Linked DNA regions of Tribolium castaneum. The protein of the gene in region 1 purifies or fractionates together with the protein of each later gene. This does not show direct contact. Links are inferred from orthologs where the notes say so. Each region holds a gene or a part of one and is shown on either strand. Other genes may lie near its edges. The genes, in order: kay and E3 ubiquitin-protein ligase COP1.

Region 1 (3,925 bases):
CAGAAAATGTTTTAAAAATTCACCTAACAGACAAAATAAGAGTTAAATTTGTACTTTTTCGTAAACATTTATTGTTTAATACTTTAATAATGATATACCGAGCCATTCTATTATATAGAAGAAAACTAAAAAGAAAATTTTTTTTGAGTATATATTAGCACGTTTGAAATTTTTTCTTTGTATGTATTCCTAAAGATTTTTTCTAAATAACTGAAACTCGCTGGATTACGAGCAAATTTCGCTTGAGAAACCCCTTAGATTAATAAAGAAATGCTTGCCAATATACAGTTTCGGATAGTGAATAGAGCATAGAATAGAAAATAGATTATATAAAGATAATGTAGAATAGAAAAAAAGAAAACACAAAAAGCAGGAATAGAAACAAAAAACAGAGAGATGTAGGAATTCTCTAAGTATAGAGGATAGAAGACAGAAAAAGAAGCAAATCGAATAAAAACAATTTGACTGCAGTAAAAAGAAGACAATAATTTATTTTGTTGGTGAATTATTTTATCGGTGAATTAATTTATAGATACGGAACTGGAGCGTTTTTTTACCAAATAATTTTATATGTATTTAAAAATTCCGTGTTTTAATTCACCTGAAGCAACTTCTATATCTTACTTTTATATTTTACTAGACCCCTTATTTGGAGTCTGCTGTTTTGTTTCATTATGTATGTATTTGTCTTTTTTTGTTTCATTCTATCGAGCATTTTCTTTTTCTACCGTTATGAAACCTTGCACATATTTATCTTTTTTTCGAGTAGTCCACTGCAGTGAATTTATACTATTTTTAGTTCTTATCGTATGTTGTATATTCCTTCTTTAATGTTTATCTGATTTAGAAATGTCACCAAAAAAAGTAAATTGTACAATTTTTCTATCAACAGAAATGATATAGTGATAAAAATCAGAATATGGAGACATCTTATTTGAGAGAACCCCCACAAAGCTTGTATAACTGGTTGCCTGCCACGACTAATAAATACAATGACCTCTTCTTTTGTGTAAACTGGTGTAAATAAACGATTACTTTACTTTAAAAAACAATAACTTTTTGTATCTTTTTTTGTAGAAAAAATTTAGATCGTGGGTGTGTACCCTGAAGTAGGTGTGCATTTTTAGTGAATCATTTTATTTATTCGTGCCAATTAGTAATCTTCCGTAACAAACAGCTAGGTGTGAAGGAAGTTCAATAATTGCAGTCAACATCATCTTATGTACCTGAAAAATTACAATTCAAATGATTAGTTTAGCACCAAATGTTTACTCCACATGCCTTATTTCCAAATTACCTGCCTTAATTAACACTATTGTGTTATTCCACCTTTATCAAGCTCATTAAACTTGATTTTGAATAGGCATGAATGCATTGTTTGTGCGGTGTATATATCGGTGCACTATTATATGTTTTTTATCTGAAACGTTTAAGCATAAAAAACATACAAAGTGAGTCATTCTTATCAATTGTGGTTGCGTTTCCGGTAAAAAAAATCAAGCAAAACACACAAAAATCGCTCCTCTTCAAAATTAAATAACATGCAGCAAATCAAAAGCGAGATGAGTCATCGTTCTGCGAAAACATTATCCTCCTGGCTAGAACGTGGCAGCTTCGTGCGGCTCCGCCCCCGTTCGTGTGATTTCGCTAGTTGTGGGTTCGCCATTGGCGCAAAGTTCTTTAGTCATTCGGATATTTTTAGTTCTGACATCATAGCCAGTGGTTCTGGGAAAGGGTTTCCCTTCGTGAGTCATCCGGTCGTGTTTTCTTATGATTTTGCGCGGATTCGGGGGGCTGTCGGCGTAACAAGTGTCCGTTGGTGTGCTGGGGCGCAGTCATCGGGGCGAACCACCGCTGGAACAACAGCTGTTCGCTCAAGGTTGTACAACTCTCGCTATCAGGACCATTGATAACGAAATGAAGCTGGAGCTGAGCGATGGGATGTCCAACAACTCGGACTTCTCCAACGACAGCCAGAACTCGCAGATGTCGACGGCGGACTTCATGACTTCGATGGGCAACGGAGTCCTTTTGACGCCCACGACCACGGTAAGTTGGGCTTCCTTTTATGGGTGTTGATTCGACCATCTGGGCTCGACCTTCACCGACTGTCGTTAAAGTCCAATTAGACTGCACATGAATTGGATTTTGTTGTAAAGGAGACCGAGTGTAAACAATAAATTAACTTTCTCTTCTGGCTTTGTTCGCTTTGAGACTCTACGCCCACTTTGGGAAATGTGCTTAACACGGATCTAACCTCAAAAGTCGATTGTTTTGGACTAATGCCATTTGATTATTTGTGTTTGCAAAACATTTTTTAGTTGGGAAACGTGGAAAAACATTGGTTTTATGGCCTGTCTCATTAACACTGAAATGGGCTTTAAATAATACGTTTTTAATAACTTCCTAATTAATATTCTTATGTTAATTGTGGCAAAATGACAATTTCTGTAATTGATTTTATGATGGAAATGAAACTGCAATAATAAGCTCTTGTAAAAACGGCCAATTTCTGTCAAAAATATTGATACTTTTTTGCATGTTTTAAAATTGAAAGCAAAAATATTTACTTATTGAATCTGTTCTGTGATTTTTTCGTGTTTTTTGTAACTGACATTTTAATAATAATGTTTGTTTAGAACGAATTACTGAAATAGTTTTCAGGACTTTACAATATGCTAAAAAAAGGACAGTAAGAACAATAGATTGTCAAAAAAATATTGGTAACACTGAGTTAATGAATGTGAATGACAATTGAGTATAAAATTTTGACATTTTATGATCAGTATTGTCAACTTTAGATTTCAAATTTGTTACTAAATATCCGACAAAAATCAGTGGATAATTGGAAAATAAGTTATAAAATCTGAAGTTTCTATAATAAGATAAGATTTTAGCTAAAAAAAGTAAAATAAATATCTAGTATTCAATTTTTTTAATCTATTTTTCTTATATTTCATTTTACAATCGCTTGACGATGTAAATTTTTTGAGATTTTTTTCTGAATCGCAACCCCCCAGACCCCAGGGGCGGATCCAGCAATTAATTTTTCCAAATATTCTGGATTTCGAACGTTTTGGGATTGAGTTACCCAAGAAAAAAAGTCCAGAAAGTTTTCTTATTTCTTAAGCTCTAACCTTCTTCATTTTTTAGAATTAAAACTAGATATTTCAAATGATAAATTTTATTTTAAATGTTTATACATTATAATGGCTATAAAACAACTTTTTTTATAATCCTATAAAAAAATTGGGCTGTAGGGGAAAGTGGGGTAAAATGGGCTAAAATTTTACCTTAAAGAATATAAAGAAAACAATAGAAATAAAAAAGTGTTCTCGCATCACTTAAATAACGCTAGTTTACACGATTTATTATATACCTTAATTGAAAGTCATCATTTCTTATAGATTATAATTTATGAGGCACTAAGTTAAGAAAAATTAAAAAAAAATGCAACACGTCAGATTTAAGAAATACCGATATTTTATTGTTAAATAGCCAAATAAAAAATTTTAAATGAATGCTTTTGCGGTATTTTTTGTACTTTTTTTAATATCAGGTCAGGTCAGGTCAGGTCAAATTTTTACATTGTTTTTTGTACTTTTTTGGGTCAGTTTCCCTTATAAAAAAATAAAAGGGGATCAAAGGTGTACTATAAAAGAAGTTATTATTTTATATTTATTTATTATTTGTAAACTAGTGTAATTGAAAAGTTGGAAATACAAATATTTGAAAAGAGTCGGAAAATACTAGGTATGTAGGTGGGTAATTGCCTCAGTTGTTAAAAATGTACAGAAATATAATTGCTTTTGTATTGAAAAAACTGAAAAATTATTAGATTCTAGACTACTAAAATTATCTACGGGATTTTACATGAAAACTTGCTATTCTAGAGAATTTCTCCCTTACATATTATTTGACTAAC
Region 2 (3,925 bases), on another chromosome or scaffold:
GCCGTTTGGGAAATCCATGTCATATAATCTCATTTTTTCGGCAACCCAACGCGAAAACAGAAGCAAACAAGCTTGAAGGGGGACCCCGTTATCAACTTGGTGTTGCTGTATTCCTGTAAAAAATCATCAGTGGGGCTTGGGGCACAATGTTTTTTACCTGTGAGCTCGGTACAAAAGTCGCTCAATTTGGGATTCTCGACTGGCATTACGTATTGCTGGAACTCTGCGATTATTTTAGCGTTTTTTACGTCGTAAAGAACGACCGGAAATTCGATTATTTCGGCCGGATTTTTTCTCGGGTCGCCGTTACTCCAGCAAGTGGCTTCAAAGTCAAGGACGAGGAGGTAGTCAAAAGGCTGGGGAGTCGTGGCCTTAGCGGTTGAATAAATTACTTCTAAAGCACCCAGTTTTCTGAAATTGCAATAATAAGCTTATCTTTAATTTAATTATAATTTTTCTCACCGGGCCAACTCTCGAGTGCTCATTTTACTAAAATATTTCACATGTAAGGTACAAAAAACTTAATCTAAAAGTGGAGCACTTGGTCAAAGAAAGTCTCACATAACCTCAATAAACAAAATAAAGAAAATAGCAGAAATACAGGTGATATGGCATTAGTACGCCTCGATGGTACCGCTTTTTAAGTTACAAAACCCTTTAGCGGAAAACATGGACAACACAAATTGTGTCTTAATTAACTGAATAAAAAATGTATTTTGAATTTGCCGCCATTTTTTTTCCACCAAGTCACAAAAACTAAGGTGATTCCACTCCCCAATAATTTTTTTATCTAATACAGTTATCAGCGCAAATTAAAGGCTCGCACTTTTTCTGAGCATTTTATTTAAATACTGTCGATTGCATACAAAATAGACCTAAAGATAAGGCGTTATCTACGAATATCCAACCTTTCCAGAAACATTTTTTGTGCGTTAGGAGCGCCTCCTGGCGTTTGTCACTCCTGTCGGCCCGGCAGACCTGTCAAAAATCAATTTTGTGATTTGTTGATTTTTGGATTTTCAACACTAAAGTTCCACATAATCGAAAGACGAAACGTATACGATTTTTAAACCACCCTCAACCAAATCACCCCACACTCAAACCACCCATATTTTGTGTCACCATCAAGTATGGCTTTATCTCTAACGTGTAAAAAGTTACTCAGGTTATCCGTCTCCAGCAGATACTTTTTCAGACCATGCTCTTCAGCCTGCCCGGAAAAAGTAGGTTTTATCATTAGAAGCAATGCAATTGAGTGATTTGCGTTCGTTTCGTTTTAGAAAGGCTTAGTCTTGGGCGTGTACAGTGATGATGAATGTGAAGGGTTGGAGCTAACCCCCGCTGCTGAAAAGTACAACCAGAAGTGTCAAGGCAGGCTTTTAGAACAAATTAAACTGTAAGTAGCGTCATAGCGTTTTTATTGCATTAGAGGACAAGTCCAAGCGGAATTAAACATTACATAATGTGAAAACATGGGAGTAATTAATGAAACTTGGCACAAAATAGAAAGCTTTATCGTTTTTTATACACGTAGCGATTATTTTATTGTCTTGGCCCTTTTCGTGCAAATTGAAAAACCTGACCTGAAACTTGATCCCGTCAGTTTAACCAATCCAGTAGTATTGAGTGTTTTCAAGTAACAATTTAGGCGATTTCTGTCCCCGTTTCAGGTTTTCGGGTCAGGAACCGTCCGAATTGTCGCTCCTCAATACTACTCCAGTTCTTGTTTCAGGTCGATGTTTTTCTCTTAACTACCTCTAAGTCGTCAAAATGGCTTCAAGCCGCGACGGTCGTAGTAGTTCCGCCTCTTCGCACAGTAGTTCGAACGTGCCGACAAATCGCTCGTCGATTCGCACCCCAAAGCGTCAGCGTTCGACAGCCGGGGGCGGCTCCTTCGAGGAGAAAACGACCGATTTTTCCTGCCCCGTCTGCTTCAACCTGATCGAGGAGGCTTACATTACGAAATGTGGCCACACGTTCTGCTACACCTGCATTTTAAAATCGATCGAAGCCCTCAAACGCTGCCCCAAATGCAACGCCCCGGTCACCGGCGAAGACATGATCTTCCCGAACTTCCTCCTCAACGAACTGATCAGAAAGCACAAGACTCGCTTGAACAACTTCGAGGCTTTGGGCTTGAACCGCGACAGTTCGGGGGAGTTCGGGACGTCGGCCGACGGTTTACGGGATTTTGTGGCAACGGAATCGCAGAATTTAACGTTGCCGGACGTTAACGTAATGTTGGAGGTTCTGACGCAACGGAAGCAACTCCTGGAGGCGGAGTCGTGTGCCGCGCAAAACCGCCTCCTTTTGGAGTTTTTGAAGCACTTGCTTAAGCAAAAGAAGGAGCGGCAGGCGCAGATTATCAAGGAGATTGCGATTATTGAGCATGACATTGAGGAGGTTTACAATAAGTTGAAGGAGGTGCATAGCAAGTGCCCGACTTTGGAGGATGTGGAGCGGACGGTGGCGTCGGCGGCGGACAATGCCGATGTCAGTGCGATGAAGAAGGAAATGATCGATTTGATTGATACTATAGGTAGTTCGACTGGTCGCAAAGATGACACGACGAATCCCGACGCCCCGCTTCGGCTAGGTTCGACCTCGCTGGCGATGCGCCGGCGGCGGATGCACGCCCACTTTGACGACTTCGTCGACTGTTACTTCACCTCACGCTCCAAAGACTTGTTCTTCGGCAAAGACGGGGTCGATAAGACTAAGACTACTATTAATACGGGTCTCGACGAATTCCGGGAGAATTTGATCAAATTCTCGCGCTATAACTCGCTCCGGGTCCTCGCAACGTTGAACTACTCGAGTGATTTGTTCAACAATTCGACCATAGTCTCGAGTATCGAATTCGATAAGGATAACGAGTTCCTGGCGATTGCTGGAGTGACGAAAAAGATCAAAGTTTTCGATTACGGTGCTGTGATTAAGGATACGGTCGATATACACTATCCCTGTATTGAAATGCTCTCCAAGTCGAAAATCTCGTGCGTGAGTTGGAACACGTACCATAAGAGTATTCTGGCGAGTAGTGATTACGAAGGGACTGTGACGATTTGGGACGCTTCGACCGGTCAGCGCACCAAGACCTACCAAGAGCATGAGAAGCGCTGTTGGAGTGTTGATTTCAATGAGGTTGATACTCGGTTGATCGCCTCGGGTTCGGACGATGCGCGCGTTAAGTTATACTCGCTCAACGGTGAGCACTCGATCGCGACTCTCGAAGCCAAAGCGAACGTTTGTTGTGTTAAGTTCAATCCGAGGAGTTCTTGTCACTTAGCGTTCGGTAGCGCTGATCATTGTGTTCATTACTACGACTTGAGGAACATGAAGGAGGCGGTGGCCGTGTTCAAGGGCCACAAGAAGGCAGTGAGTTACGTCAAGTTTCTCAATAGTGAGGATATCGTGTCGGCGTCGACCGACTCGCAGCTTAAATTGTGGAATGTTAATACTCCGTATTGCCTTCGGTCGTTTGTCGGACACATTAACGAGAAGAATTTTATCGGATTGGCGACGGACGGCGATTATGTCGCCTGCGGCTCGGAGAATAACGCCATGTATATTTATTACAAAGGCTTGAGTAAAAAGTTGTTTAGTTATAAGTTTGAAGCGATTCAAGGGGTCTTGGATCAGGAAAGGCGGGAGGATGATATGAACGAATTCGTTTCGGCTGTTTGCTGGAAGCAGAATTCGAATGTTGTCGTTGCGGCGAACAGTCAAGGGATTATTAATATTTTGGAACTGGTTTAGGTGATAGTCTAGCACGGCATTAGGACAATCAACTGTTCTTGGCATATCCCGGATTGTAAATTTCGTTACAGGATGTGCACAGGAAAAATCGGTTTAATAACTAAAACTTGGATGGGGGACTATTTTATTTTTTACGTACAGGGGGCGAAAATATTTACTGTTTTTA

Evidence for each region.
Region 2: the proteins of kay (region 1) and E3 ubiquitin-protein ligase COP1 purify together in Homo sapiens (affinity purification with mass spectrometry; 3 studies listed by BioGRID and IntAct, counting the BioPlex papers as one, with this or other methods). This does not show direct contact. The link is inferred for Tribolium castaneum from reciprocal best matches to the Homo sapiens genes FOSL2 and COP1.

The regions. Positions count from the first base shown.
Region 1 is NC_087396.1:20,446,841-20,450,765, reverse strand, and holds the start of kay (kayak), read left to right. Parts: upstream 1-1,704; 5' UTR 1,705-1,917; coding exon 1,918-2,049; intron 2,050-3,925.
Region 2 is NC_087397.1:2,837,153-2,841,077, forward strand, and holds the start of E3 ubiquitin-protein ligase COP1, read left to right. Parts: upstream 1-1,223; intron 1,224-1,280; coding exon of another isoform or gene 1,281-1,396; intron 1,397-1,732; 5' UTR 1,733-1,770; coding exon 1,771-3,759; 3' UTR 3,760-3,925. UniProt on the Homo sapiens protein: E3 ubiquitin-protein ligase that mediates ubiquitination and subsequent proteasomal degradation of target proteins.